Saccharomyces cerevisiae S288C: one gene and its partners. The protein of the gene in region 2 purifies or fractionates together with the protein of the main gene of each other region. This does not show direct contact. Each region holds a gene or a part of one and is shown on either strand. Other genes may lie near its edges.

What was found.
Region 1: the proteins of FAF1 (region 2) and UTP20 purify together in Saccharomyces cerevisiae (affinity purification with mass spectrometry; 2 studies listed by BioGRID). This does not show direct contact.
Region 3: the proteins of FAF1 (region 2) and UTP18 purify together in Saccharomyces cerevisiae (affinity purification with mass spectrometry, with the first as the bait; 2 studies listed by BioGRID). This does not show direct contact.
Region 4: the proteins of FAF1 (region 2) and UTP11 purify together in Saccharomyces cerevisiae (affinity purification with mass spectrometry, with the first as the bait; 2 studies listed by BioGRID). This does not show direct contact.

Annotation. Positions count from the first base shown.
Region 1 is NC_001134.8:223,653-234,982, forward strand, and holds the start of UTP20 (Utp20p), read left to right. Parts: upstream 1-3,983; coding exon 3,984-11,330. UniProt on the Saccharomyces cerevisiae protein: Involved in nucleolar processing of pre-18S ribosomal RNA and ribosome assembly.
Region 2 is NC_001141.2:311,099-318,215, forward strand, and holds FAF1 (Faf1p), read left to right. Parts: upstream 1-3,994; coding exon 3,995-5,035; downstream 5,036-7,117. Other genes in the region: protein translocase subunit TIM44, read left to right, coding at 67-1,362; DNA-directed RNA polymerase II core subunit RPB3, read left to right, coding at 1,807-2,763; 1-(5-phosphoribosyl)-5- ((5-phosphoribosylamino)methylideneamino)imidazole-4-carboxamide isomerase HIS6, read right to left, coding at 2,937-3,722; 60S ribosomal protein uL2 RPL2B, read left to right, coding at 5,670-5,673, 6,074-6,834; glucose-induced degradation complex subunit VID28, read right to left, coding at 7,102-7,117. UniProt on the Saccharomyces cerevisiae protein: Required for pre-rRNA processing and 40S ribosomal subunit assembly. Seems to act in the processing of 35S rRNA at the A(0), A(1), and A(2) cleavage sites.
Region 3 is NC_001142.9:306,791-314,665, reverse strand, and holds UTP18 (Utp18p), read left to right. Parts: upstream 1-1,959; coding exon 1,960-3,744; downstream 3,745-7,875. Other genes in the region: MPM1 (Mpm1p), read left to right, coding at 1-552; YJL068C (S-formylglutathione hydrolase), read left to right, coding at 751-1,650; YJL070C (metallo-dependent hydrolase superfamily protein), read left to right, coding at 4,029-6,695; ARG2 (acetyl-CoA:L-glutamate N-acetyltransferase), read right to left, coding at 6,810-7,875. UniProt on the Saccharomyces cerevisiae protein: Involved in nucleolar processing of pre-18S ribosomal RNA and ribosome assembly.
Region 4 is NC_001143.9:253,272-259,916, reverse strand, and holds UTP11 (rRNA-processing protein UTP11), read left to right. Parts: upstream 1-3,444; coding exon 3,445-4,197; downstream 4,198-6,645. Other genes in the region: CWP2 (Cwp2p), read right to left, coding at 386-664; YKL096C-B (uncharacterized protein), read left to right, coding at 695-844; YKL097C (uncharacterized protein), read left to right, coding at 1,004-1,414; MTC2 (Mtc2p), read right to left, coding at 2,074-3,147; YPF1 (aspartic endopeptidase), read left to right, coding at 4,457-6,220; protein kinase HSL1, read right to left, coding at 6,441-6,645. UniProt on the Saccharomyces cerevisiae protein: Involved in nucleolar processing of pre-18S ribosomal RNA.

The DNA of each region.
Region 1 (11,330 bases), on a different chromosome or scaffold from region 2:
AACCGTACCTTATTAGATGACTGCCGTACTCAACTGCAATGTAGTGGTTTACCGAACCATTTATGGTTCTCTGCAATCGAATTTTCTACTATTGTGAGAAATTCACTAGCTTCACCTAAAAGCAAAAAATCTGCAAGACAACATGCTGGCTTGGCAGGACTTGATATCAGTACTTTGTTACCTTTCGGTCAACCTGTTATCGTCAATGATCACAACCCTAACTCCAAAATACATCCTCGTGGCATCCCAGGCTACGCTCTACATCCGTCTCGAAACTCTTATGGATATATCATCTATCTTCCATCCTTAAAGAAGACAGTAGATACAACTAACTATGTTATTCTTCAGGGCAAGGAATCCAGATTAGATCAATTCAATTACGACGCACTCACTTTCGATGAAGACTTAAACCGTTTAACTGCTTCATATCAATCGTTCATTGCGTCAAATGAGATCCAACAATCCAATGATCTTAACATAGAATCAGACCATGACTTTCAATCTGATATTGAACTATATCCTGAGCAACCGAGAAATGTCCTTTCAAAAGCTGTGAGTCCAACCGATTCCACACCCCCGTCAACTCATACTGAAGATTCGAAACGTGTTTCTAAAACCAATATTCGCGCACCCAGAGAAGTTGACCCCAACATATCTGAATCTAATATTCTTCCATCTAAGAAGAGATCTAGCACCCCCCAAATTTCCGATATCGAGAGTACCGATTCGGGTGGTATGCATAGATTAGATGTTCCTTTACTTGCTCCCATGTCCCAATCTAACACACATGAGTCGTCGTACGCCAGTAAATCTAAAGATTTCAGACACTCAGACTCGTACAGTGACAATGAGACTAATCATACAAACGTACCAATATCCAGTACGGGTGGTACCAATAATAAAACTGTTCCGCAGACAAGCGAACAGGAGACTGAGAAAAGGATTATACACCGTTCACCTTCGATCGATACTTCCTCATCAGAAAGTAATTCACTACACCACGTCGTTCCTATCAAAACGTCAGATACCTGTCCTAAGGAGAATACAGAGGAATCTATAATTGCTGATCTTCCACTTCCCGATCTGCCTCCAGAACCTCCTACCGAATTATCAGACTCCTTTAAGGAACTTCCACCGATCAATTCTCGTCAAACTAATTCCAGTTTGGGTGGTATTGGTGACTCTAATGCCTATACTACTATCAACAGTAAGAAAAGATCATTAGAAGATAATGAAACTGAAATTAAGGTATCACGAGACACATGGAATACTAAGAATATGCGTAGTTTAGAACCTCCGAGATCGAAGAAACGAATTCACCTGATTGCAGCTGTAAAAGCAGTAAAATCAATCAAACCAATACGAACAACCTTACGATACGATGAGGCAATCACCTATAATAAAGATATTAAAGAAAAAGAAAAATATATCGAGGCATACCACAAAGAAGTCAATCAACTGTTGAAGATGAAAACTTGGGACACTGACAAATATTATGACAGAAAAGAAATAGACCCTAAAAGAGTAATAAATTCAATGTTTATCTTCAACAGGAAACGTGACGGTACTCATAAAGCTAGATTTGTTGCAAGAGGTGATATTCAGCATCCTGACACTTACGACTCAGGCATGCAATCCAATACCGTACATCACTATGCATTAATGACATCCCTGTCACTTGCATTAGACAATAACTACCATATTACACAATTAGACATATCTTCGGCATATTTGTATGCAGACATCAAAGAAGAATTATACATAAGACCTCCACCACATTTAGGAATGAATGATAAGTTGATACGTTTGAAGAAATCACTTTATGGATTGAAACAAAGTGGAGCGAACTGGTACGAAACTATCAAATCATACCTGATAAAACAATGTGGTATGGAAGAAGTTCGTGGATGGTCATGCGTATTTAAAAACAGTCAAGTGACAATTTGTTTATTCGTAGATGATATGGTATTGTTTAGCAAAAATCTAAATTCAAACAAAAGAATTATAGACAAGCTTAAGATGCAATACGACACCAAGATTATAAATCTAGGCGAAAGTGATGAGGAAATTCAATATGACATTCTTGGCTTGGAAATCAAATACCAAAGAGGTAAATACATGAAATTGGGTATGGAAAACTCATTAACTGAAAAAATACCCAAACTAAACGTACCTTTGAACCCAAAAGGAAGGAAACTTAGCGCTCCAGGTCAACCAGGTCTATATATAGACCAGCAAGAACTAGAGCTAGAAGAAGATGATTACAAAATGAAGGTACATGAAATGCAAAAGCTGATAGGTCTAGCATCATATGTTGGATATAAATTTAGATTTGACCTATTATACTACATCAACACACTTGCACAACATATACTATTTCCGTCCAAGCAAGTGTTAGATATGACATATGAATTGATACAGTTCATATGGAATACGAGAGATAAGCAATTAATATGGCACAAAAGCAAACCTGTTAAGCCAACAAATAAATTAGTTGTTATAAGCGATGCCTCGTATGGTAACCAACCGTATTATAAATCACAAATTGGCAACATATATTTACTTAATGGAAAAGTAATTGGAGGAAAGTCCACCAAGGCTTCATTAACATGTACTTCAACCACGGAAGCAGAAATACACGCAATAAGTGAATCTGTCCCATTATTAAATAATCTAAGTTACCTGATACAAGAACTCGACAAGAAACCAATTACCAAAGGATTACTAACCGACAGTAAATCTACAATCAGTATAATTATATCCAATAATGAAGAGAAATTTAGAAACAGATTTTTTGGTACTAAAGCAATGAGACTGAGAGATGAAGTATCAGGAAATCATCTGCACGTATGCTATATCGAAACCAAAAAGAATATTGCAGACGTAATGACCAAACCTCTTCCGATAAAAACATTCAAACTATTAACAAACAAATGGATTCATTAGATCTATTACATTATGGGTGGTATGTTGGAATAAAAATCCACTATCGTCTATCAACTAATAGTTATATTATCAATATATTATCATATACGGTGTTAAGATGATGACATAAGTTATGAGAAGCTGTCATCGAAGTTAGAGGAAGCTGAAGTGCAAGGATTGATAATGTAATAGGATAATGAAACATATAAAACGGAATGAGGAATAATCGTAATATTAGTATGTAGAAATATAGATTCCATTTTGAGGATTCCTATATCCTTGAGGAGAACTTCTAGTATATTCTGTATACCTAATATTATAGCCTTTATCAACAATGGAATCCCAACAATTATCTCAACATTCCCCCATTTCTCAGGAATCCCAACAGTTATGACAAAATTTATCAGAATTCCCAGTTTCATACATGTTTGATATTTATAGATAATTCATAATGACGGTTTATTTATTCTGGTAAGTTATGATATCATGTAAAACGAGGCAACTTGGCCGAGTGGTTAAGGCGAAAGATTAGAAATCTTTTGGGCTTTGCCCGCGCAGGTTCGAGTCCTGCAGTTGTCGTTATTTTTTGGACAGTAATAAGAGTACGTAAAGTCAATGGAATACGTGGTAAAAGCATCACGTTTATGTTTTATTAAAAGATTGGCATAGAACTTGGCCTTCTTCGTAACGACTTATCACCCGTTAAAAGTATGCTATATGAGTTATATCGGCTGCAGTGTATTTCTTCCTGGCTCATTTAAAGCTAATGAAATGTACCTCTCGCTTCATTTTCTAAGGTAGTGTTTTGAAGGCGTATGTATGTAATGTCACCCGGACTTTTGTAAAGAAAAAATTTTGAGTTTATGTCTTTCCGAAAATTTTTACCGATGAGCATTGAAAAGTTGCATTATTAAATTTGGTAGCGTAAAAACCACCGATTAAACAGGTAGTGTAGGTTGTAAATTAAAGATCATATTCTTTCCTGTTTACATCCAGTTTTACGTTGTTGGCCGTATTGGTATATTTCTAGTATCAGTTACACATATTTCATTGAAAGTATGGCTAAACAAAGACAAACTACTAAATCGTCTAAGCGATATAGATATTCTTCCTTCAAGGCTAGGATTGACGATTTGAAGATTGAACCGGCTAGAAATTTGGAAAAAAGGGTACATGATTATGTCGAGTCGTCGCATTTTCTCGCTTCCTTTGATCAGTGGAAAGAAATTAATTTAAGTGCCAAATTTACGGAGTTTGCAGCGGAAATTGAGCATGATGTTCAAACATTACCCCAAATACTATATCATGATAAAAAGATTTTTAATTCTTTGGTTTCATTCATTAACTTTCACGATGAGTTTTCTTTGCAACCGCTTCTGGACCTCTTGGCTCAATTTTGTCATGATTTAGGTCCAGATTTTCTTAAATTTTATGAAGAAGCTATCAAAACTTTAATAAATCTGTTAGACGCTGCTATAGAATTTGAGTCATCTAATGTTTTTGAGTGGGGTTTCAACTGTTTGGCTTATATTTTCAAGTATCTCTCGAAATTTTTGGTTAAAAAACTGGTACTCACATGTGATCTTTTAATTCCACTATTGTCTCATTCTAAGGAATATCTTTCAAGATTTTCAGCAGAAGCATTATCTTTTTTAGTAAGAAAGTGTCCTGTTTCTAACTTGCGCGAGTTTGTTAGATCAGTTTTTGAAAAGTTAGAGGGAGATGATGAGCAAACTAACCTCTACGAAGGGCTTCTGATATTATTCACAGAATCCATGACGTCAACGCAAGAAACTCTGCATTCGAAAGCTAAAGCTATCATGAGCGTTCTTTTGCATGAAGCTTTGACCAAATCATCCCCGGAAAGATCTGTTTCATTGCTCTCAGATATTTGGATGAACATTAGTAAGTACGCCTCAATCGAAAGTTTACTTCCAGTCTATGAAGTTATGTATCAGGATTTTAACGATTCTCTCGATGCCACCAATATCGATAGAATATTAAAAGTATTGACAACAATTGTCTTCTCGGAAAGTGGTAGAAAAATTCCTGATTGGAATAAAATTACTATCCTAATTGAAAGAATAATGAGTCAAAGTGAAAATTGTGCTTCGCTTTCACAGGATAAAGTGGCTTTCCTATTTGCTTTATTTATTCGTAACAGTGACGTGAAAACTTTAACATTATTCCACCAAAAACTTTTTAACTACGCTTTAACAAATATATCTGACTGTTTCCTTGAATTCTTTCAATTTGCTTTAAGGCTAAGCTATGAAAGAGTATTTTCATTCAATGGATTAAAATTCCTACAGTTATTTTTAAAGAAAAATTGGCAATCACAAGGAAAAAAAATTGCACTTTTTTTTCTAGAAGTAGATGATAAGCCTGAACTGCAGAAAGTACGGGAAGTAAATTTCCCAGAAGAATTTATTTTATCTATCAGAGATTTTTTTGTCACAGCAGAAATTAATGATTCGAATGACCTTTTCGAAATATATTGGCGAGCTATAATTTTTAAATATTCGAAATTACAGAATACAGAAATTATTATCCCATTGCTTGAACGTATCTTTTCAACTTTTGCATCACCAGATAATTTTACGAAAGATATGGTCGGTACACTCTTAAAAATATATCGTAAAGAAGACGACGCTTCAGGGAATAATCTATTAAAGACTATTCTGGATAATTACGAAAACTATAAAGAAAGTTTAAACTTTTTAAGAGGATGGAACAAGTTAGTGAGTAATCTTCATCCTTCAGAAAGCTTAAAAGGACTAATGTCACACTATCCAAGTCTACTCCTTAGCTTGACAGATAATTTTATGTTGCCTGATGGGAAGATTCGTTATGAAACTTTAGAATTAATGAAGACATTAATGATTTTGCAGGGTATGCAAGTACCTGACCTCCTTTCTTCATGTATGGTTATCGAGGAAATACCTCTTACACTACAAAATGCCAGAGATTTAACCATTAGAATCAAGAATGTTGGTGCCGAATTCGGAAAAACCAAAACAGACAAGCTAGTATCCTCTTTCTTTCTCAAATACTTATTTGGCCTTCTTACCGTTAGATTCTCTCCAGTTTGGACTGGTGTTTTTGACACTCTTCCTAATGTTTACACAAAAGATGAAGCCCTCGTTTGGAAACTTGTGCTATCATTCATTAAACTTCCTGATGAAAATCAAAATTTGGATTACTACCAGCCTCTTCTTGAAGATGGTGCAAACAAAGTTCTGTGGGATTCGAGTGTAGTGAGGTTAAGGGACACTATTGATACGTTCTCACATATTTGGTCAAAGTATTCTACTCAAAATACGAGCATTATATCTACTACTATTGAAAGAAGGGGGAACACCACCTACCCAATTTTAATTAGAAATCAGGCTCTAAAAGTTATGCTATCGATTCCTCAAGTTGCTGAAAATCACTTCGTCGACATCGCACCTTTTGTTTATAATGACTTCAAGACTTACAAAGATGAAGAGGATATGGAAAATGAACGTGTTATTACTGGTTCATGGACAGAAGTTGATAGAAACGTGTTTTTAAAGACTTTAAGCAAGTTCAAAAATATAAAGAATGTTTATAGTGCAACAGAATTGCACGATCATCTGATGGTACTGTTGGGTAGCCGTAATACAGACGTTCAGAAGCTTGCGTTGGACGCACTTCTTGCATACAAAAATCCAACGTTGAATAAATATAGAGATAATTTGAAAAATCTACTAGATGACACCTTATTCAAGGACGAGATTACGACTTTTTTAACCGAAAATGGGTCGCAGTCTATCAAGGCTGAGGACGAAAAGGTAGTCATGCCTTATGTCCTTAGAATTTTCTTCGGTCGAGCACAAGTCCCCCCAACTAGTGGACAGAAAAGAAGCCGCAAAATAGCTGTCATTTCAGTTTTGCCAAATTTTAAGAAGCCATATATTAATGATTTTTTGAGTTTGGCTAGTGAAAGGCTGGATTATAATTATTTTTTTGGGAACAGCCATCAAATAAATAGCTCAAAGGCTACCTTGAAAACTATCAGACGGATGACTGGTTTCGTTAACATTGTAAATTCTACTCTGTCTGTATTAAGAACAAATTTTCCTTTGCATACTAATTCAGTGCTGCAGCCGTTGATCTATTCAATTGCTATGGCATACTATGTCTTAGATACTGAGAGCACAGAGGAGGTACATTTAAGAAAGATGGCAAGTAATTTAAGGCAACAAGGTCTAAAATGTTTAAGTAGTGTCTTTGAATTTGTTGGAAATACATTTGATTGGTCTACTTCTATGGAAGATATTTACGCCGTTGTAGTTAAGCCTCGTATTTCACATTTTTCGGATGAAAACTTACAACAACCCTCCTCTTTACTAAGACTTTTCCTTTATTGGGCACACAATCCATCTCTGTACCAGTTTTTGTATTACGATGAATTTGCAACTGCCACTGCATTGATGGACACCATATCAAACCAACACGTTAAGGAAGCTGTTATTGGCCCAATAATTGAAGCGGCGGACTCAATTATTAGAAATCCAGTAAATGATGATCACTACGTAGATTTGGTGACTCTCATCTGCACATCATGTCTGAAAATACTTCCTTCGCTATATGTCAAACTTTCTGACTCAAACTCGATTTCCACATTTTTGAATTTGCTAGTTAGTATCACTGAGATGGGATTTATTCAAGATGATCATGTTAGAAGTCGTTTAATTAGTTCATTAATATCAATATTAAAAGGAAAGCTAAAAAAACTGCAGGAAAATGATACCCAAAAAATTTTGAAAATATTAAAGCTGATAGTTTTCAACTACAATTGTTCTTGGAGTGATATTGAAGAACTATACACTACCATATCTTCTTTGTTCAAAACATTTGACGAGCGAAACCTCAGGGTTTCCTTGACAGAGCTCTTCATAGAACTCGGTAGAAAAGTTCCTGAATTAGAAAGTATTTCGAAATTGGTTGCGGACTTGAATTCATACTCCTCATCACGTATGCATGAATATGATTTTCCTAGAATTTTATCAACTTTCAAGGGGTTAATTGAAGATGGTTATAAGTCCTACAGTGAGTTAGAGTGGTTACCTCTGTTGTTCACCTTTTTACATTTTATCAATAATAAGGAAGAACTTGCGTTAAGAACAAACGCATCCCACGCTATAATGAAGTTTATTGACTTCATTAACGAAAAGCCTAATCTTAATGAAGCTTCAAAATCGATTTCTATGCTGAAGGATATACTTTTACCCAATATAAGGATTGGCCTCAGAGACTCCCTAGAAGAGGTACAAAGTGAGTATGTATCAGTGCTATCATATATGGTAAAAAACACGAAATATTTCACCGACTTCGAAGATATGGCCATTTTACTGTACAATGGTGATGAAGAAGCAGATTTTTTTACAAACGTTAATCATATTCAGCTTCATCGTCGTCAGAGAGCCATTAAAAGACTAGGTGAACATGCTCATCAACTCAAAGATAACAGTATATCCCATTATTTAATTCCAATGATCGAACATTATGTCTTTTCGGATGATGAAAGATACAGAAATATTGGAAATGAGACCCAAATAGCCATCGGAGGGTTGGCGCAGCACATGAGTTGGAATCAATACAAAGCTCTTCTTAGAAGGTACATTTCTATGTTGAAAACCAAGCCTAACCAAATGAAGCAAGCCGTACAATTAATTGTTCAACTTTCTGTTCCACTTAGAGAAACTCTTCGTATCGTAAGAGATGGGGCTGAGTCGAAACTTACTTTGAGCAAATTTCCTTCCAACTTAGATGAACCCAGTAATTTTATTAAGCAAGAATTGTATCCGACTCTTTCGAAAATTCTTGGCACTAGAGATGACGAAACTATAATTGAAAGAATGCCTATTGCGGAGGCATTAGTTAATATTGTTTTAGGGCTCACAAATGATGATATTACTAATTTCCTCCCTAGTATTCTAACAAATATTTGCCAAGTTTTGAGAAGTAAATCCGAAGAATTAAGAGATGCAGTAAGAGTAACCTTGGGTAAAATCAGTATTATCTTGGGCGCTGAGTATCTTGTCTTTGTGATAAAGGAATTAATGGCTACATTAAAACGTGGTTCTCAAATTCATGTGTTAAGTTACACTGTCCACTACATATTAAAGAGTATGCACGGAGTCTTAAAACACTCCGATTTGGATACCTCGTCCAGTATGATTGTTAAGATTATAATGGAAAATATCTTTGGGTTCGCTGGTGAAGAAAAAGACTCTGAGAATTATCATACAAAAGTGAAAGAAATTAAGAGTAATAAAAGCTATGATGCTGGTGAAATTCTCGCCTCAAACATCAGCCTGACAGAATTTGGAACATTACTCTCTCCTGTGAAGGCTTTGTTGATGGTCAGAATTAATCTAAGAAATCAAAACAAACTGAGTGAATTATTGAGACGATATTTGTTGGGTTTAAATCATAATAGTGACTCTGAGTCAGAAAGTATCCTCAAGTTCTGCCATCAGCTTTTCCAGGAATCAGAAATGAGTAATTCCCCTCAAATACCAAAGAAAAAAGTGAAAGACCAAGTAGATGAAAAAGAAGACTTTTTCTTGGTAAATTTGGAGTCGAAATCTTATACCATCAACTCAAACAGTTTGCTTTTGAACAGCACTTTACAAAAATTTGCTTTAGACTTACTTAGGAACGTAATAACGAGACACCGCTCCTTTTTAACTGTCTCGCACCTAGAGGGTTTTATTCCATTTTTGAGAGATTCGTTACTTTCGGAAAATGAAGGTGTGGTAATTAGTACTTTACGTATCCTGATTACATTAATTAGGCTAGATTTTTCCGATGAATCTAGTGAAATCTTCAAAAACTGTGCGAGGAAGGTACTAAATATTATCAAGGTTTCTCCTTCAACTTCAAGCGAATTATGCCAAATGGGTTTAAAGTTTCTTTCTGCCTTTATACGTCACACAGATTCAACATTAAAGGATACTGCTTTGAGTTATGTTCTAGGGAGGGTCTTACCAGATTTAAATGAACCAAGCAGACAAGGCCTTGCTTTTAATTTCCTAAAAGCACTTGTTTCAAAACATATCATGCTTCCAGAACTCTATGACATTGCGGATACTACTAGGGAAATCATGGTCACAAACCACTCAAAAGAAATTAGGGATGTATCCAGGAGCGTTTACTACCAATTTTTAATGGAATATGACCAAAGTAAGGGTCGTTTAGAAAAGCAGTTCAAATTTATGGTCGACAATTTACAGTATCCTACCGAGTCCGGCCGTCAGTCCGTAATGGAATTGATCAATTTGATTATTACAAAGGCTAATCCTGCTTTACTATCCAAATTATCATCTTCCTTCTTTCTGGCGCTAGTTAATGTTTCTTTTAATGATGATGCGCCAAGATGCCGTGAGATGGCTTCAGTATTGATTTCCACCATGCTTCCAAAGCTTGAAAATAAGGACCTTGAAATTGTTGAAAAATATATAGCCGCTTGGCTAAAACAGGTTGATAATGCATCCTTTTTAAATCTTGGGTTGAGAACTTATAAGGTCTACTTGAAAAGTATTGGGTTTGAACATACTATTGAGCTAGACGAGCTTGCCATCAAGCGTATAAGGTACATTTTGAGCGATACGTCGGTAGGATCAGAACATCAGTGGGATTTGGTATACTCAGCTTTAAATACGTTCTCATCTTATATGGAAGCAACAGAGAGCGTTTATAAACATGGTTTCAAAGACATATGGGATGGTATTATCACATGTCTCTTGTATCCGCACTCATGGGTCCGTCAATCGGCGGCAAATCTTGTTCATCAACTCATAGCCAATAAGGATAAGCTGGAGATATCATTAACCAATCTGGAAATTCAAACCATTGCAACAAGAATTCTTCACCAATTAGGTGCGCCTTCTATTCCGGAGAATCTTGCGAACGTCTCAATAAAAACATTAGTTAATATCAGTATCCTATGGAAGGAGCAACGCACGCCGTTCATAATGGATGTATCAAAACAAACTGGAGAGGATCTAAAATATACTACCGCCATTGATTATATGGTAACTCGAATTGGTGGTATTATCAGGTCGGATGAACATCGTATGGATTCTTTTATGTCGAAGAAGGCGTGTATTCAGTTATTGGCCTTATTAGTTCAAGTTCTGGACGAAGACGAAGTAATTGCAGAAGGGGAAAAGATATTATTGCCGCTATATGGTTATTTAGAAACATATTACTCAAGAGCAGTTGATGAAGAACAGGAAGAACTACGCACTCTTTCAAACGAATGTTTAAAAATACTGGAAGACAAATTGCAAGTATCCGATTTTACAAAAATATACACTGCTGTCAAACAGACCGTATTAGAAAGAAGAAAGGAAAGGAGATCTAAAAGGGCA
Region 2 (7,117 bases):
AGCTTATAGTGTTTCGTTTTTTTATTCCTGAATTTTTCACTACCGCAGCAATTGCTATTTCAGTTCATGCACAGATCCACTTTTATCAGGACGTCCGGCACGAGCTCTAGGACACTAACCGCAAGGTACAGATCGCAGTACACAGGATTACTCGTTGCCCGAGTATTATTCTCCACCTCTACGACCCGTGCGCAAGGTGGAAACCCTCGATCACCACTCCAGATTTTCCGCGATACATTCAAGAAGGAATGGGAGAAGTCTCAGGAACTGCAGGAGAACATAAAGACGCTGCAAGATGCTTCGGGAAAGTTAGGCGAGTCTGAGGCCTACAAAAAGGCTAGGGAAGCATATTTGAAAGCTCAGAGAGGCTCCACAATTGTGGGTAAAACTCTGAAAAAGACCGGTGAGACCATGGAACATATAGCCACTAAGGCCTGGGAGTCCGAACTCGGTAAGAACACAAGAAAGGCGGCTGCCGCCACGGCGAAGAAGCTGGATGAGAGTTTTGAGCCAGTGAGACAGACGAAGATTTACAAGGAAGTCTCAGAAGTCATTGACGATGGGGAGAGTTCCCGATACGGTGGGTTTATCACGAAAGAGCAAAGGAGACTTAAACGTGAGAGAGACCTGGCCTCTGGGAAAAGACACAGGGCAGTAAAGAGCAATGAAGATGCAGGAACAGCAGTGGTTGCGACAAATATCGAGTCTAAAGAATCGTTTGGTAAGAAAGTGGAGGATTTCAAGGAGAAAACCGTGGTTGGCCGTTCTATACAATCTTTAAAGAACAAATTGTGGGATGAAAGTGAAAACCCCTTAATTGTTGTCATGAGGAAAATAACCAACAAAGTGGGCGGTTTCTTTGCAGAAACAGAATCCTCCCGTGTTTACAGTCAATTTAAGCTAATGGACCCAACCTTTTCGAACGAAAGCTTCACCAGACACTTAAGAGAATACATTGTTCCCGAGATTCTCGAAGCGTATGTGAAAGGCGATGTCAAAGTTCTCAAAAAATGGTTCAGCGAGGCGCCATTCAATGTTTACGCCGCCCAACAGAAAATCTTCAAAGAACAGGATGTTTACGCCGATGGCCGTATCCTAGATATCAGGGGCGTTGAAATAGTGAGTGCAAAGTTATTGGCTCCCCAAGACATCCCAGTCTTGGTGGTCGGGTGTAGAGCACAAGAAATCAACCTTTACAGGAAAAAGAAAACTGGCGAGATTGCGGCTGGTGACGAAGCTAATATCTTGATGAGCTCTTATGCCATGGTTTTCACCAGAGACCCAGAGCAAATCGACGATGACGAAACAGAAGGGTGGAAGATCTTGGAGTTTGTGCGCGGGGGTTCTAGACAATTCACCTGATTGGTTTCGATGTACTCTTTTGTTTTCTTTTCCTTTTCCTTCCTATTCCGCTTGTAAATAACTCCGTTATGTCTCACCTTCGATCCCCACTTTTTCTTTTGGAATACTGCATCAAATAGGAAGAGAGAAAAAAGGAAATCATATCCCAATATATTTGAACATACGACACGATATACCTTATATAGTATCATCTGTACTAATAGTACTATAACTAATACTTCTTGACGGACAAGCTTCGCAACTCGTTCGCAATGACCAAGTTTGGCTTTCGGGAAGCAAAGTGGAAAAAAATGAAAAATAAACTAATTGAAGTGGTAAAAAATAAGCTGTGTGTGTGCATATACATCGTAAGTGCGTTGGCTGTTCTGTGGAAAAGGGAGACACTTTTTATATCAGGTGCAAAGGCTTCGTACCAGCGTTGAAAAACTAAAACAATATTGAAAAATGAGTGAAGAAGGTCCTCAAGTTAAAATAAGAGAAGCTAGTAAAGATAACGTCGACTTTATACTATCCAATGTGGATTTGGCTATGGCCAATTCTCTCCGTAGAGTCATGATAGCAGAGATTCCCACTTTAGCCATTGATTCAGTCGAAGTCGAAACAAATACTACGGTTTTGGCCGATGAATTTATTGCACACAGATTAGGTTTAATACCTCTACAAAGTATGGATATCGAACAACTAGAATACAGTCGTGATTGTTTTTGTGAGGACCACTGTGATAAGTGTTCAGTGGTGTTAACATTGCAAGCGTTCGGCGAAAGCGAAAGTACTACAAACGTCTACAGCAAGGACTTGGTAATTGTGTCTAATCTCATGGGCCGTAATATTGGGCATCCTATTATACAAGATAAAGAAGGTAACGGTGTTCTTATTTGTAAATTGAGAAAAGGTCAAGAATTGAAACTGACATGCGTTGCGAAAAAGGGTATAGCCAAAGAGCACGCCAAGTGGGGTCCAGCAGCAGCCATAGAGTTCGAGTATGATCCTTGGAATAAGCTCAAACATACCGATTACTGGTATGAACAGGATTCTGCCAAAGAATGGCCTCAGTCTAAAAATTGTGAATACGAAGATCCTCCAAACGAAGGTGACCCCTTCGATTATAAGGCTCAGGCAGATACATTTTATATGAATGTAGAATCTGTGGGGTCTATTCCCGTTGATCAAGTTGTCGTCAGAGGTATCGATACATTACAGAAAAAGGTTGCCTCAATATTGTTAGCTCTGACACAGATGGATCAAGACAAAGTTAATTTTGCATCGGGTGATAACAACACCGCTTCAAATATGCTGGGAAGTAACGAAGACGTAATGATGACGGGCGCTGAGCAAGATCCTTACTCCAATGCATCTCAAATGGGTAATACTGGATCAGGAGGGTATGATAATGCTTGGTAGTTCTCAAGTGGGCGTAATAGAGGAAAAAAAACAAGTGAACGAACCGAAAATAATAAGAGAAAAAAAGCTTTATATGCATGTATGTATCATTATGATTAGTATTATAAGTATTATAATCTAAAGTACGAAGCAAACAAAAAAGAAAAAAGAAAATGAAAAAATGAAAGGAAGGGCTAACCTTGCTTTTCATTCCATCTACAGCAGTCTTCAAACTTAACTAGGTTACCACCAAATATATCTAAGGAACTACCGAATGTCAAATCTACTTTTCCGTGACTTAGTTCGTCTACTAATTTCAAATCATCAACACTTTTGGCCCCACCAGCATAAACGATTTTCAAATCATCGTAATCTTTGGTCCATTCGAAAAGCTTAGAAACCAATAATTCATCGATACCACCACACAAACCTTCAACGTCTGCAGCGTGAATTAGAAACTCATTTGTATATTTCCTCAATTCTCTGAAAGTGTCAGCATTAAGCTCAAGATCAGTTAGAGTTTGCCATTTGTTCATGGCCACAATCCAACGACCGTCCTGGGTTTTTCTACAGCTTAAGTCTACAACAATGCGGTCTTTCCCACATAGTTCTGTCAGTCTTTCTAACCTTTTTAATTGAAAATGACCCTCTTTTGTAAATAGCCAACTCGTAACAATTACTTTACTGGCCCATTTTAACCATTCCAAACAGTTCGTATCATTAATTCCTCCGCCCACTTGTAGAAATTGTGGTGACTCCTGGAGTGCCTCGCGTGCAGCGTCGTCATTGTTAGGTCCCAACTTAATAACATGACATCCTTGGACATCTCTGTCTTTGTAAAGTTTAGCGTAATATGAAGAAGGATGTTGTGATACAAAGTTAGTTTTTGGAACGTCCTCCTTTTTGCTCGTTAACGTTCCACCTACAATCTGTTTAACCTCTCCATTATGCAGGTCTATACAACCAATAAACTTCGTCATTTTTTTCTAGTATATACCCCCAGCCTTCTTATGCGCAGTTTCGAAGATATTGTGAATTTGCAGGCGAGGATTCTCAAATTATTCCGTATGACTCTGCACACTAGACATGGCTCAATCTTGGCAATGGACCCTGTGCTGAATTTTCGTCATTCGTCTCATGCGACCGTTCCGTTCCTAGAAAAATTTTGAGCGATGAGATGAGTATACATTAACGATGGCAGGAACAGTTATAACAATATTGAGAGTACAAATGACCCAAAAGCCATAAAAAGATGACCCTTGATGATGACGACTATATAAAACAAATGGAGCTTCAAAGAAAAGCTTTTGAAAGTCAGTTCGGATCTTTAGAGTCCATGGGGTTCGAAGATAAAACAAAAAATATACGAACTGAAGTAGATACCAGAGACAGTTCAGGTGATGAAATTGACAATTCCGATCATGGTAGTGATTTCAAGGATGGTACTATAGAAAGTTCTAATTCTTCTGATGAAGATAGCGGTAACGAAACCGCGGAAGAAAATAATCAAGATTCCAAACCGAAAACTCAACCAAAGGTCATTAGATTCAACGGGCCTAGTGACGTTTATGTTCCTCCAAGTAAGAAGACACAGAAACTTTTGAGAAGCGGCAAAACTTTAACTCAAATAAACAAAAAATTGGAGAGTACTGAAGCCAAGGAAGAAAAAGAAGATGAGACTTTGGAGGCGGAAAATTTACAAAACGACCTGGAGTTGCAGCAATTTCTGAGAGAGTCTCACTTATTGAGCGCTTTCAATAACGGTGGAAGTGGTTCTACAAACAGTGGTGTATCGTTGACTCTACAGAGTATGGGTGGTGGAAATGATGATGGCATAGTATACCAGGATGATCAAGTTATTGGGAAGGCCAGATCGCGTACACTCGAAATGAGACTGAATAGACTCTCAAGGGTGAATGGTCATCAGGACAAAATAAATAAGCTGGAAAAAGTACCCATGCATATTAGAAGAGGAATGATCGACAAGCACGTCAAGAGAATCAAAAAATACGAACAAGAAGCTGCAGAAGGTGGAATTGTTCTATCCAAAGTGAAAAAGGGACAATTCAGAAAAATTGAATCTACATACAAGAAAGATATCGAGAGGCGTATCGGGGGAAGCATTAAGGCCAGGGATAAAGAAAAAGCTACCAAAAGGGAACGTGGTTTGAAGATCAGTAGTGTAGGCAGATCGACGAGGAATGGACTGATTGTATCCAAAAGAGATATTGCTCGTATCAGTGGAGGCGAGAGGAGTGGTAAATTTAATGGCAAAAAGAAATCCCGTCGCTAGATCAATTGTGATTCCATGAACTCACAAACAACTCGCCTAAGAAACTGTCTAAATTTTTATGCACTAAATAGACCACAAATGAGAACGTAAAGAGAAGCTTTTATCATTTTATTTCTCTTCTCCTTAGGAGGAAATACAAATATCTTTTCTACATTTAATTCAATCTGACAGTCAAAGTTATACATATACATTATACCGATTACCAAGTTTTCAGACTAGAACCCATACATTATTTTACAAACCCAGACAGTACACTATACAAAAACCCAAGCAATTGCAATCAATTTTTTTGCACGAAAATTTTATTCGAAATCGCCAACCCGCTAGGGAGAAAAAGAAGGAATTCTCAAAGGAGAGGCTGGACAGAGAGGTCGTCCCAGTCTACCGCCTACGAGTAATGTTGGATACTAAGCAGTTCCCAGCCTGAACGCTCTGCTGGATGGGTGGAGATTTCCCTCCAGGCGGGAACACTCCTGGTGGATTCTGCTCTGGAAACTATGCTGTGCATGCTACAGGTTTCAATAATCTTTCATACTTGACAAAAGTAGATATACATATTTTAAAAGATTGAGTTACTATTGATAAATCTACTATTTGTCATAAACTCACCAAGAAACCACAAAGTTATTGAACAATGGGTATGTTTTTATTATATCGCATAATTATGGCAAATGTTATGAAGGATTCCTCTATGACTTAGATGTTTTGAATCGGTACATTTTATTTTCAGTATCCTTCTGCATATTACAAGGCAACATAGCAGCGGACAAGAAAGCTTTTTTGATGTTCGTCTTCGAAACGATTACTATCAGGGTCTTTTAAATGCTATATCGGGACTTATTGAAATTGACATATTACACTTATGAATGACGTTGGCTATCAAAGTATGAGAATAAGCCTTTCCTACTATTTTGTATCATGACAACAGGGTTCTGTCGCTTTGAATGCGGCCTTTTACTTTGCCATATTTTGATAATGAAAAAACTTTCGAGAAATATTTACTAACAGGATCGAGAATTTTTTTCCTCATTTAAACAGGTAGAGTTATTCGTAACCAAAGAAAGGGTGCTGGTTCTATCTTCACCTCTCACACCAGATTAAGACAAGGTGCTGCCAAGTTGAGAACTTTGGACTATGCTGAACGTCATGGTTACATCCGTGGTATCGTTAAGCAAATTGTCCACGACTCCGGTAGAGGTGCTCCATTGGCCAAGGTTGTTTTCCGTGACCCATACAAGTACAGATTACGTGAAGAAATCTTCATTGCTAACGAAGGTGTTCACACTGGTCAATTCATTTACGCTGGTAAAAAGGCTTCTTTGAACGTCGGTAACGTCTTGCCATTGGGTTCTGTCCCAGAAGGTACCATTGTCTCCAACGTTGAAGAAAAGCCAGGTGACAGAGGTGCCCTAGCCAGAGCTTCTGGTAACTACGTTATCATCATTGGTCACAACCCAGATGAAAACAAAACCAGAGTCAGATTACCATCCGGTGCCAAGAAGGTTATCTCTTCTGACGCCAGAGGTGTCATCGGTGTCATTGCCGGTGGTGGTAGAGTTGACAAACCATTGTTGAAGGCTGGTCGTGCTTTCCACAAGTACAGATTGAAGAGAAACTCTTGGCCAAAGACCCGTGGTGTTGCCATGAATCCAGTTGATCACCCTCACGGTGGTGGTAACCATCAACATATTGGTAAGGCTTCTACTATCTCTAGAGGTGCCGTTTCTGGTCAAAAGGCTGGTTTGATTGCTGCCAGAAGAACCGGTTTACTACGTGGTTCTCAAAAGACCCAAGATTAATCTTTTTAATTTTGGTTTCTTCCTTCTGTCATATTATTTTATCAATTTTCTTAAATATTATATAATTTAATCCGAAACGTTCCTTATAAAGTGATATTTCTATGCATACTTTTTTTTCTTTGACATGAGAATAAATTCAGCCAGCTACTTCCTATCACAGAAATTTTAGTTAAACGTAAGCTTGCAGTTATGGATTCTTCTGCGAAAATACTATTTAAAAAACTATAGCATAAATTAATTGTAGGAAATACTACGAGTTCTGTGCATTCATTTAACTTTCAAA
Region 3 (7,875 bases), on a different chromosome or scaffold from region 2:
GGAATCCCTACGGTGAAGCAGTTTGACAAGTGCGAAGAACTTAAGGGCCAGTCTGCATGGACCACCCAAGGGATTTGGAAATGTCTTGTCCCAAGTAAGGCTATCCCCCCTCTACCACAATTGGACTTCCTCTTACCTCTGGAGGAGATCAAATCTGACAAGTCGCACTCTCATGGGTTGTTCTTCAATGATTTCAACCTCTTTTTGAAGTGGAGGTCGCACATGAATAGACTACAAAAACAAAGAATCAAGACTAGGAGCACTGCCGTAGAGCCTCTGGCTAGAACTCCAGAAGACCTCATGTTGAATTGGGACGACTTGCATCTGGGCAACGATGCTGAATATGCTTCTGCAGATGGATCCAAGAAAATTGTTGGAAGGGCACAGTCCATTAGTACCACGAAGGATTCCAATGATGCAAAACCCAGCACCGTCAAAACTGAAAAAATCTACTTTGACGATGGCACGGTAGACATTACTACCACCACTACCTCCAAGGGTTCCAGTCCCCAGGTGAAGCATAAAGTGGTGAGTGTTGACGAAGACAATTAGGACATATTTTCGTTTCCTTTTTTTACTCATATCTTACACAATATGCCTTGTATATATCGCACGATTATGACCTTGCGCGTGTGGAAAACATGCGACTGCTAAGGGGAGATCCACACACACACACACAAAAGATCAATACACATTTTTGACAATATATAGCATCAATAAAATACATATAAGCGATTCACATAGTTCAATATGAAGGTTGTTAAGGAATTTAGTGTCTGTGGTGGCAGATTGATCAAGTTGTCACATAACTCGAACTCTACCAAGACCAGCATGAACGTCAATATCTATTTGCCTAAGCACTATTACGCCCAAGATTTTCCAAGAAATAAGCGTATCCCAACTGTGTTTTACCTTTCTGGCTTGACGTGCACGCCAGACAACGCCTCTGAGAAGGCTTTTTGGCAGTTTCAAGCTGACAAGTACGGATTTGCAATAGTCTTTCCGGATACGTCCCCACGTGGTGACGAAGTAGCCAATGATCCTGAGGGCTCCTGGGATTTTGGACAGGGCGCCGGATTCTATCTAAATGCCACCCAAGAACCATACGCCCAACATTACCAGATGTACGACTACATTCACAAAGAACTCCCACAAACATTAGATTCTCATTTTAACAAGAACGGTGACGTAAAGCTGGACTTCTTGGACAATGTTGCCATCACAGGCCATTCGATGGGGGGATATGGTGCAATTTGTGGGTATTTGAAGGGCTATTCCGGAAAGAGATACAAATCTTGTTCTGCCTTCGCCCCTATCGTGAACCCTTCCAACGTTCCCTGGGGTCAAAAAGCGTTTAAAGGTTATCTGGGCGAAGAAAAAGCCCAGTGGGAAGCGTACGACCCATGTTTATTAATCAAGAATATTAGACATGTGGGCGACGACAGAATTTTGATCCATGTAGGAGACTCCGATCCCTTTTTGGAAGAACACTTGAAACCGGAATTACTACTTGAGGCGGTGAAAGCCACTTCATGGCAGGACTACGTGGAAATAAAAAAAGTTCACGGCTTTGATCACTCCTATTACTTTGTCAGCACTTTCGTTCCAGAACATGCTGAATTTCATGCGCGAAACTTGGGTTTGATTTGAGAGGCATCGCATTTCATTATGGTAATTTTTATGACTTTTCTATGTACATATTTAGTGAAATATACGTCCGTAGAAAAAAATGGCCAAACATAGTTATCCTTTCAAAGGTTATTCGCAGTAGATTTTATGTCACCTGTAACTTCCATTACTATTGCTATTATGTGGTTAATTGGCATCACATCCGACGAATTTAATAATATGAAATGAAAAAAACGAAAAATAAAAAAATTTCACCTCATCTCATCGATCACTCTGGTCCTGTTGTGGTATCGTTCTTGAAAGTGTATATCAGCCTACATTAGTGCGACAATGACAATGGCAACAACCGCAATGAATGTTAGCGTACCTCCACCAGATGAAGAAGAACAGTTACTAGCCAAATTTGTATTCGGTGATACAACAGATTTACAAGAAAATCTCGCTAAATTTAATGCCGATTTCATTTTCAATGAACAAGAAATGGATGTTGAAGACCAGGAGGATGAGGGATCTGAATCAGATAACAGTGAAGAAGATGAAGCGCAGAACGGTGAATTAGACCATGTTAACAACGATCAGTTATTTTTTGTGGACGATGGTGGTAACGAAGATAGTCAAGATAAGAATGAAGATACCATGGACGTGGATGACGAAGATGACTCTTCAAGCGATGATTATTCTGAGGACTCTGAAGAAGCTGCTTGGATAGATTCGGATGATGAAAAAATTAAAGTGCCTATTCTTGTTACCAATAAGACAAAGAAATTAAGAACCTCCTATAACGAGTCCAAAATCAACGGTGTTCATTACATCAACAGATTGAGATCTCAGTTTGAAAAGATATATCCAAGGCCCAAATGGGTGGACGATGAATCTGATTCTGAATTAGATGACGAAGAAGACGATGAAGAAGAAGGCTCTAATAATGTTATTAATGGAGATATTAATGCTCTAACGAAGATCCTGTCTACTACTTACAATTATAAAGACACTTTATCGAATTCCAAACTATTACCCCCTAAGAAACTTGACATTGTGCGTCTTAAAGATGCAAATGCATCACACCCGTCTCATTCCGCCATACAATCTCTTTCATTCCATCCTTCTAAGCCTCTACTGTTAACGGGTGGGTATGATAAGACCTTAAGAATATATCATATTGACGGGAAAACGAACCATCTAGTGACAAGTTTGCACCTGGTTGGGTCTCCAATACAAACATGTACTTTCTATACTTCTCTATCAAACCAAAATCAACAAAATATATTCACCGCCGGTAGAAGAAGATATATGCATTCCTGGGACTTATCCTTAGAAAATTTAACTCATTCACAGACTGCCAAAATCGAAAAATTTTCCAGATTGTATGGACATGAGTCCACTCAAAGATCATTTGAGAATTTCAAAGTTGCACATTTGCAGAATTCACAAACAAATTCTGTCCATGGAATTGTCCTTTTACAGGGTAATAATGGTTGGATTAACATTTTACATTCCACTTCCGGACTATGGTTAATGGGCTGCAAGATAGAAGGTGTGATAACGGATTTCTGTATCGATTATCAACCTATTTCACGTGGTAAGTTTAGGACCATTTTAATTGCTGTAAACGCGTATGGTGAAGTGTGGGAATTTGACTTGAATAAGAATGGCCATGTTATAAGAAGATGGAAAGACCAAGGTGGCGTGGGTATAACAAAAATCCAAGTTGGTGGTGGGACAACAACTACTTGTCCGGCTCTTCAAATAAGTAAGATAAAGCAAAATAGGTGGCTTGCGGTAGGTAGTGAGAGTGGATTTGTTAATCTTTACGATAGAAATAATGCTATGACCTCGTCGACCCCTACACCTGTCGCCGCCTTGGACCAGCTAACAACTACCATTTCTAATCTACAATTTTCCCCTGATGGTCAAATACTGTGCATGGCATCCCGTGCAGTCAAGGATGCTTTGAGACTAGTTCATCTGCCTTCTTGTAGCGTGTTCAGCAACTGGCCTACCAGCGGGACGCCTTTGGGTAAAGTTACCAGTGTCGCATTTTCGCCATCTGGTGGGCTACTGGCCGTGGGTAACGAACAAGGTAAAGTGAGGCTCTGGAAATTAAACCACTACTAAATTTCCATTTATAGACAAACTTAGATATTAAAAGCAATGTACAAATACATACACAAAATATCACTGTAAAAAAATTGCGAAGAAACTTGAAATTGAATATGATTCTGCCCACTTTTTTCTTGCTGTCATTTATAGTCAGAAATGAAAAATTGTCCGAGAAATTAAATATAATATATGGAAAAAAAGGGGACATTGAGTTTAAAGAATTTGATTAAAATGTCCTCTCAATATCCTCTGTAAGAGTTATCTAAATCTCACTTTACTTATTCATCTCGCTGGGAATTATGCAGGCGGTAGAGAGAAGGCCCTCGTTACTCTTTGACGAATATCAAAATTCTGTTACTAAGCCTAATGAGACGAAGAATAAAGAAGCCAGGGTCTTGTCAGAGAATGACGGTGATGTCTCCCCATCTGTTTTGAAACAGAAGGAAATATCAGTCGATGATATGGATATGATTTCTTTGCCCACGGAATTTGACAGGCAAATGGTTTTAGGTTCACCTATGTTTTTCGATCTTGAAGACGAAGAAAACAAAATTGATCCACTTCCTTCAGTTTCCCATCATTATGGAAATGGAGAAAGTGACAGCTTTGTCTCATCGTACACGCCCTCAAATCTGAAAACGGGTGAAGAAACTAAAGATCTTTTCATTAATCCGTTTGAATTGGTTTCTCAAATGAGAAAAAGATACATTGCTGCTTCCAAACAAGATGGCATTTCAAACATAAAAAATGACACTGAAAAGTGGTTTTTATACCCAAAACCACTGCCAAAGTTTTGGAGATTTGAAGACGATAAACGATTCCAAGATCCCTCTGACTCTGACTTAAATGACGATGGAGACAGTACTGGGACCGGAGCCGCTACACCGCACCGCCATGGCTACTATTACCCAAGTTACTTTACCGATCACTACTACTACTACACAAAATCTGGTTTGAAAGGAAAAGGAAATATAAAAGTACCATACACCGGTGAATATTTCGATTTAGAGGATTACAAAAAACAATACATTTACCATTTAAGTAATCAGGAAAATACGCAAAACCCACTTTCACCTTATTCTAGTAAGGAGGAGTCACTAGAGGAAGAATTTTTAACAGATGTGCCTACGTTTCAAGAATTTAGGGATGATTTTGCATACATAATAGAGTTAATCCAATCTCATAAATTCAACGAGGTTTCACGAAAGCGATTATCTTATTTATTAGATAAATTTGAATTGTTTCAGTACCTAAACTCTAAGAAAGAAATTTTAGCTAATAAAAATGTTCCCTACAGAGATTTTTATAATTCTCGTAAGGTAGATCGAGACTTGTCTTTAAGTGGTTGTATTTCTCAACGTCAATTGAGTGAATATATATGGGAGAAAATAAATTTAGAACCTGAAAGGATAGTTTATCAAGACCCGGAAACGTCAAGGAAACTCAGTTTGAGAGACATTTTTCAGTTTGGTTGTTCTTCTAATGACCAACCCATTGCGATTGGGTTGAAATTGATTGATGATGAATTCTTGGATTGGTATAGAAATATTTACCTAATAGATTACCATCTAACTCCTAACAAAGTAGCAAAGTTGGTCGGCAAAGAAATGAGGTTTTACCTATTAGCCAAAGTGTTTCTGGAGTTTGATAATTTCATTGAAGGTGAGTACCTAGCAGAAATTTTCATAAAATACGTTATTCATATCCTCGAAAAATCAAAGTACCAATTGGCCCAAGTATCAGTTAATTTTCAATTCTATTCCAGTGGTGAAGACTGGTACAAGAAATTTTCTCAATGGTTGCTACGATGGAAGCTAGTATCGTATAATATCCGCTGGAATATACAAATTGCCAGGATTTTTCCCAAACTATTCAAGGAAAATGTCGTGTCAAATTTCCAGGAGTTTTTGGATCTTATCTTCAATCCTTTATTCACTCTGGAAAAGGAGCAGTTACCAATAGATTCATCTGTAAATACTGATATCATTGGTCTGCAGTTTTTTTTATCAAATGTGTGTTCTATGGATCTGGTCATTAAAGAGTCGGATGAATATTACTGGAAAGAATTTACTGATATGAATTGTAAGCCAAAATTTTGGACAGCACAGGGTGACAATCCAACTGTTGCGCATTACATGTATTATATTTATAAAAGTTTAGCGAAAGTTAATTTTCTGCGGTCACAAAATCTTCAAAATACAATCACCCTAAGAAATTATTGTTCTCCACTATCCAGCAGAACTTCCCAATTTGGAGTGGATTTATATTTTACAGATCAAGTTGAATCGTTAGTGTGCAACTTACTGCTTTGTAATGGTGGTCTGCTACAGGTAGAACCGCTTTGGGATACTGCAACAATGATTCAATATTTATTTTATCTCTTTCAAATACCCATTTTAGCTGCGCCATTATCATCTGTTTCATTACTGAATTCGCAAAAATCGACCTTTTTGAAGAATAAAAACGTGCTTCTAGAACATGATTATTTGAAAGACCAGGAAACAGCCAAAATCAATCCTTCTAGAGATATCACTGTGGGCGAACAAAGATCATATGAGACAAATCCTTTCATGAAAATGTTTAAGATGGGACTAAAAATTTCTTTATCATCAAAATCGATTCTTTACAATAGTTCATACACGCTAGAACCTCTCATTGAAGAATACAGTGTAGCAGCAAGTATTTACTTGCTGAACCCAACAGATTTGTGCGAGTTGTCGAGAACAAGTGTGCTATCTAGTGGCTATGAAGGTTGGTACAAGGCTCATTGGATTGGCGTTGGAGTTAAAAAGGCGCCTTACTTTGAGGAGAACGTGGGTGGGATAGATAATTGGTACGATACAGCGAAAGATACCTCGATAAAGCACAACGTTCCGATGATTAGAAGAAGATATAGAAAGGAGACATTGGATCAAGAGTGGAACTTCGTTCGGGATCACTTTGGAGTAATTAACTCCATTTGGTAGGGTAAAGTGAAATATCAACAACTTTGCATAGTAAGATATATATATTTATATAGATACCTTAAAAACTGAAAATGAAAACTTGAAAGTTAAGGAGGAGGAGAATGCGTCTTTGTTTCATGAAATATTTTTTTCATTTTCCCAACTTGGCTTGATGTCCCTGACAGACCTCATGAATTCTCTTAAACGTTTCTTGTCACGTAGTGCCCTCTTAGCGTATTGAGGGTTACCGTAGTAAAATAGTTTAAATTGGCTTTGCTTTTCATCACAGTGTTCGGGGTCTAAGTCAATCGACAAATCTAGCACAGCAACGCTACGTTGAAAATACCACTTGTTCACCACATTGTCTTTTCTGCTTCTCCAAAGTATCTCATTAGGAAATTTTTTGAACATCAAATTGAAGATTATATCAGATATACCCAGCGAGCCTTTCAAGTGTGGTAGAACGGCGAACTTATCGAGATAAACAAAGGAATTTTCCTCCGAGCCTTCATAGGTAAGAATTGCAATGCCTTCATAATCACCTATCACAATAATTGTAGCTATTTTTCCATTAATCCTTTTTATGTAGTCATGCAAATCCAAAGATCTTTTAAAGCTCTGATCGATGATGGATTTAAATTTGTTGATATCTAGTTTTGGACTATTGCTCGAGGGTTTTGCTCCTTTCTCAGGTACGTGAAACTTCTTTGGAAGCCCAATTGAGTTGAATTGAGTCAGCGTCTTATAGTCATAAGTTTTGATATGGACGCCCTTTTTGAGAACAGTTGTCACTAAAACTGCATCTGAGTTAGAAGGAGCTGCATTTACCTGTTGGGAAGGCAATTCATACCATGCGTGATCATCAAACATGTTGGCTGGTGAGTCTATCTCGCCGTCCTTTTTTTTAAACCTTGGTAAAGAAGAAGAAATTAGCGATCGGTCTGTCAATAAATTATATACTAAAGGATTTTTCCTATCTGATGATAGTGCGGCAGCTTTGACAGTTGTAATCAGTCCCGTTGCTGTAGCCGCTAGATTTGATAAAACTTTGTCCATCAATAACAGGTTTTCTAAATGATCATGGTATTCACATTCTAAGGAAGATATCTCATCTTTTTTAACGTACACCTCCATTCTGTGTAACAGGTTTTGGGAGCGTGGCTCTCGTTTGGTTAGAGTGCTTATATTGTGAGATAATGAC
Region 4 (6,645 bases), on a different chromosome or scaffold from region 2:
TTTCACGCCTTGACTCTTTAATCGCAGCTAAGGGCGAAATTCTTTATGCACACTGGTCTGTTGAAACAAGCATGCATGTTTTTTTCACCTTAGGGGCGCAGGAAACATTGTGCATAGCCAAGATCTCAGCAAACTCGAAGAAACCCAGTCTCTAATACATTCATTTCGAGTTCAAATTTTTGACTCATTCGAAGAGAAATCACAGGAACATCGTTAAAGTAAAAAGTGTTTTATTTTTATGGTATCTACCTATTCAAAATAACAAAAATTATTTAAAATTATGTGTAAAAATATATTAACGAAAAGAAAAGAATCAAACACTTACCTAGTAAAACCGAAAATTTTGAAAAAAGCCATATAGATATTATAAAAAATCAGAGATTTCTTATAACAACATAGCAGCAGCAGCTAGAGCACCGGCACCCATACCGACAGCGGCCTTAGCAGCACCATTTTCAGTTTGTTGAGAGATAGTTTCGGTGCTGGATGGAGAAACAGTTTCAACGGTGGAAGATGGGGCAGCAGTGGTGGTAGCTTCGGTGGTAGCAGTGGTAGTAGCTTGGATTTGACCGTCAGTGATTTGAGAAATGGCGGCAGCGGATTCAGCGGCAACAAAGTTAGCCAAAGCGACGAAAGCAACGGAAGCGACAGTAGAGAATTGCATTTTTTTTCTTGTTAGTGTGTAGCGAATGTGATGAAGTTATTTATTCTTGATTATGAGAAGAAAAGAACAAAGATAGGAAAAGGGATGGCAAGAAGAGAATTGAAAATGATGAACAAGAAGCCTGATTTATATACGATTATTGTATCTTATTTTTCAATTTTTTCGTTGTTTTTTTTTTAGAACGTTACATTTCTCTGTTTGGCTTTTGGTCTACGGTTCCCCAAATGCAGTTAAAGAATGGCAATAATACGGAAAGGGAAATGCAAGAAAGAGGAAAAAGGACGGTTCCAGATTTTCTAATGATAAGCGCGAAATTTCCGCAATTTCTAGGGTAGTGGGATGTTCCTATTTACGTTTACCATTCTTGAGAGTGAAAAACTTATTATATGGCCCGTTCCGGCCGTGGTACTGGGTGTTATGGCCCCAAAACGCGCATATTCCACGCCTTTTGGGCCTTGGCCGGGCCCCGCGGAGTGCCTGTGGAATTGCCCTTCGGAGCTAAGGCAGTTCAGTTCGTGTTGTTTACCTCTGCCGAAACTGAGGCCGCCCAGGCCCACTTTCGCTTCTCTTTGGCGTGTTGTGGCGGCGATCGCTGCATTGTTTCAAGTGCCCTGGAGACGTAAAACAGGCGTGGGAAAAGCAATCTTCTGCATAGGTTGCTGCTGCCTAGCATATCAGTGGCGCAGAACGCGGTATTTTGCATACAAGATTATGACAGGAACATGCTTCATGACAGACTTGGCGCCCTAACATCCGCATCGGTGGAGGCAATGTAATACTGTGATACTATGTGGTTGTTTGCCATTAGTTGCACATTGCAATAAAAGGGTCGTCAAAAAAAGACGAGCAGCATAGTATCTGTAGCATTATTAATATGTCTAGGGGATGGCGTACGTTATGCTTCTCAGACGGTTTTCTAAGAAAAGCTTTGTCCCTTGCGGTGACCGCACAAAATAAAAAGGGGAGGCTAGCAATTCACTCATAGCACCTTGTCTATTAGAAATGGAATGCATACTGATTGTCCTTGCGCTTAATTGTCTATTGTAAATTGTAATCGCATGGTCATCTTTTAGTAGCATCTCTATTACTTCGTATTATGGTCAGTAAATGATTGACCAAGTGCAAGCGGAATCTTTCGTTGCTGGACTCAATTGGTAATGTCTATATACACTATTGCAAAGTAGTTAAGCCTTGCCATTTTCATTTCTCTCTTACTTTTTAGACCAAATATTTAGCTATTTACTTTGACCGATTTTGCTCATTTTTCGGGTCATGGCATAATGAATAAAAACAACAATTGGTTAACAAAACGATAAAGGGCAATTGACGCTAAGAATAGAAACTTTTAAATACCGTTTGTACGTATGTAAACATAGGTTCCAGATGCATGCTCGAAATACATAATAAACTTACACGGGCGGCACGACTTTACTTAGTACGTTTTTCACTACGAGAGATTCCAGGAAAAGGGGATTCTCAAACTCATTAACCTCCTCACACTTAATCTTCGCAAGTTTCTCTAGCATTTCGTCCACCAAGTTGGGGTCGCTACCGTACAATAAGGAACTATCCATGGAGGAACGCTGAACCAATTCCAAGTGCATGGGGAAGTACCACCTGGACGCCTCTTTGACATGTGAAGGTGACACAAACATCTTGCCGCTATGTAGACCAATTAATCTAGACAATAACACCACGTCGTCCAATGAATTTGTATATACCCCGCCGGCTTTGGCGTTATACGTCAATCTATGCGTTCGCAAATGGACCATGATATCGAGAATATACCGTCTTACAGTGGACCCCACAAATACATCGTTCAGATTTGCCTCTTCATTTAATATGATCGACCTCTTGCTCTCTGGCTCCTGCTTCTCTTCCTCAGCCATACCAATGCTATTATTGGCTCTTGTATTAATGCTAGACTCAGTTGAACTTTCAAAATCCAAATATGGGGGTGCACATGCAAACCAGAATTTGTGTTTGAGCCAAGCGCCCATACGGAAAGACGTGGGCAGGAAGATGCGAGTTTTGGGAGCTGGTTTACCTGCTTCATCCCCATCCTTAGCGGCGCCTGAAGGCTGCACGGGATTATTCCAATGAACCACTCCTATAAATATACGTGTTGACTGTGCCTTCTCAATCGCCACTGTGCAATCTCTCATAATTTTTACTAATTTCGCTTGGTCTGGCTGTAAAAGAGAATTTATGTCTGGAATGATAACAATCTCAAATTCCTTAACATGTGTAGTTGCTAACGAGTCCAAGCTTGCAGTTGTTGAGTTCAGAACCGTGACCTTTATTCCTCCGCCCGGATAAGCGTCATTGATTGCCCTCTTCAGTTGTATATCACAAGTACTTGGCATCGAAGAGGCTAATTTTTCCTTTGAGACGCTGTCTCTATACATACATAGAAAGCTCTTTTTAGCTGTAACAGAAAACTTCAAACATGTCTGAAAATCCGGCAGATTATGATCGCCCATTCCTATTTTTGCCACATCCAATCAATAATTTTGCAGCTCCGATTTTGCAGGTGTTGCTGTTCAATGGAAGTAATCGTTGTTATAAAGGAGCACATCACCAAGTCCTCTAAGGCTTAAAGGTTTGTCGTTATGCACGTAAAAGATGAAATTTTTTTATGGCTAGATGAGCTCATCGCGATTTGAAGAAAAAGAGTAAAGAAAACAATGCTAAGAAACTACAATAAGAGCAAGTTGCATATCATCGAATAATACTAGTGGGGTTTTCTAGTTCGTTACAGCCAACAACAGACAAAAGATATGGCTAAACTTGTACATGATGTTCAGAAAAAGCAGCATAGAGAACGTTCTCAGCTAACTAGCCGTTCCAGATATGGGTTTTTAGAAAAGCATAAAGACTATGTGAAACGTGCTCAAGACTTCCACAGGAAGCAGTCCACTTTGAAAGTCCTCAGAGAAAAAGCAAAAGAGAGAAATCCAGATGAATACTACCATGCTATGCATTCAAGGAAGACAGATGCAAAAGGACTGCTGATCAGCTCACGTCACGGTGACGAAGAAGACGAATCGCTTTCCATGGATCAAGTTAAATTACTCAAAACGCAAGATAGTAATTATGTGAGGACGCTGAGGCAAATAGAGCTGAAAAAGCTGGAGAAAGGAGCGAAACAGTTGATGTTCAAAAGCAGTGGGAATCATACAATATTCGTCGATTCCCGAGAGAAGATGAACGAATTCACCCCAGAGAAGTTTTTCAATACCACCTCCGAGATGGTGAATAGATCTGAAAATAGATTAACTAAGGACCAATTAGCCCAAGATATTTCAAACAATAGGAACGCTTCATCAATAATGCCAAAGGAATCATTAGACAAAAAGAAATTGAAAAAGTTCAAGCAAGTCAAGCAGCACTTACAGAGGGAAACTCAATTGAAACAGGTCCAACAAAGAATGGATGCTCAAAGAGAATTGTTGAAGAAGGGTTCCAAGAAAAAAATCGTAGACTCTTCAGGAAAAATTTCATTTAAATGGAAGAAACAACGGAAACGTTAGATTTTTACCATCTATATAGTATATATAAGTGAATCAGGCAGACGTTCCGTAATCCTTCTTTTCATGTTTTATAGGATTACGTTTATAAAAAGTATTCACTTTTCTTAAGTGTCTTTTGCGCCATCAAAAAAAAAAGGATTTTGAGGCACCGGAAAAAAAAGAACCCCTCTCCGAATGGGAGTATTTAGGACAAGATTTGTAAAGTGCTCCCTTTTTGAGCAATACTACAGATCTATAATGGGGAACAAACTCATACACGATGGACAAGTATTTGAATTCATTTGTTGACCACCTTTCAGAGTGGTCATCTCGTGCCTTTAGGAACAATTCATCAAGCGCTAACCAAAGTGCGTCGAACAAGGAATTAGAACAAGTTTTTGAACAGATCAATGCTATAGTTGAAAACCACAATAACAAATTAACCACTGCCTTTGATAAGATATCATATCGCGTTGCTCACAAGATTACACACTTGGTGGAAAGCCATTCTTTAGTATTCAACTACGCCACTTTAGTTCTCATCGCAAGTGCTTTGGTCGTTATTGGCTCATTTACGTCTATTTCTTCTATTCCATTTACAGCTCTACCTCCTACGAGAGAACACTCATTGTTTGATCCTACAGATTTTGATGTGGACCACGACTGTCATGTTATCTACCGCGAGAATGACGAAGATAAAAAGAAAAAGAAGAAAAGCAAGAGGTTTTTCGATATGATGGATGAAAAACATGCGATTATACTGCCCTTAACTAGTGGCTGTACTTTACTCGCTCTCTATTTTGTGATCAAGAAACTACACCTAAACTGGCTAAAATATGTGGTGAAAATTTTGAATTTTAATATAACACTGCTAAATATCCCAGCTGGCACATTTGTCTACTCCTACTTTCTCAACTCACTTTTCAGAAACCTATCACATTTAGCTTCTTGGAATCCCCTGGTTGTTTTACCAAGGTATCGTGTAACAATAGCTGATGATAACGAAGACCTGAACAAGATAGGCGGGTTTGTTACCAATTTGAATTACAAAGATGGATTGACCAACTCAGTTGTTCACAAGAAAACATTGGATGAGATTGAAAAAGATCATTGGATGAAGCATTTTTACAGAAGAGAATTAGTTGAACCGAAGGATATTAAATCGAAGAGGCAGATCAGCAACATGTATTTGAATAGCGCATTAATTGTTTCGTTCGTTCTGTCCATCGTTTCTACCGTATATTTCTATTTATCACCCAATGATTGGTTAATATCCAATGCTGTCAGTATGAATATGGCTATTTGGTCCATTGCTCAATTAAAATTGAAGAATTTAAAATCAGGGGCCCTAATCCTAATTGCTCTATTTTTTTACGACATTTGCTTTGTCTTTGGTACCGATGTAATGGTTACAGTAGCTACTAACCTTGATATTCCCGTAAAACTAAGCTTACCAGTCAAGTTTAATACAGCTCAAAACAACTTCAATTTTTCAATACTTGGTCTGGGTGATATTGCCTTGCCTGGTATGTTTATTGCGATGTGCTACAAATATGACATCTGGAAGTGGCACCTTGATCATGATGACACTGAATTCCACTTTTTGAACTGGTCATACGTTGGAAAATATTTTATTACTGCTATGGTTAGTTACGTTGCTTCTTTGGTATCTGCCATGGTCTCCTTGTCCATTTTCAATACTGCTCAACCGGCTTTATTATACATTGTTCCTTCCTTGTTGATTAGTACTATTTTGGTAGCTTGCTGGAACAAGGATTTTAAGCAGTTTTGGAATTTTCAGTATGATACGATTGAAGTGGATAAAAGTTTAAAAAAAGCGATAGAAAAAAAGGAGAACTCTATAACTTATTCGACCTTCATCCTATCAGAATACTATAATGATGCCGACAAGTATGCCTTGCTTGGTGATGATGTAAACGAAAATTTTGACGATGATGAAGAATTCGTGCAAGAGGAAGATCTCAGTGACAGCTCTGAGGAAGAGCTTTCTGAAGAAGATCTCTTGGATGACGAATCTTCTTGAGCTCCAAAAGAAACGACAGCTCTTTTTACCCCTCCAGGGTTGTATTTATCTTCTAATCTAGGACAATGTTTGTAAAACCCTCTTTCTTTCCTTCGTGTCTCATGTCTCTCCATTTATTAATGTTCTTTTAAACTATGTTTTCTCACGCCTGTCCATTCGGTTCTCGTACGTTAAATTTTTCAAATTATTGTTGTATAATTATATAACATCTATATAGAATTTATGAACGTCCGGCATTTCGAATTACTCTCTCCACATCATCATTAAACTTTTCAAAGGCTTTATTGGAACTTGTGTTTGAATGTTTGCTTCTTTTTTTTACAGTAATTACCGTAGATGCATTGGGTGTGCTAGTAATCTTGATTTTGAATTTGAAGTTGCCTTTTACAAATTTACAATCGTATTCCACCACCTTTCTCCCAAAT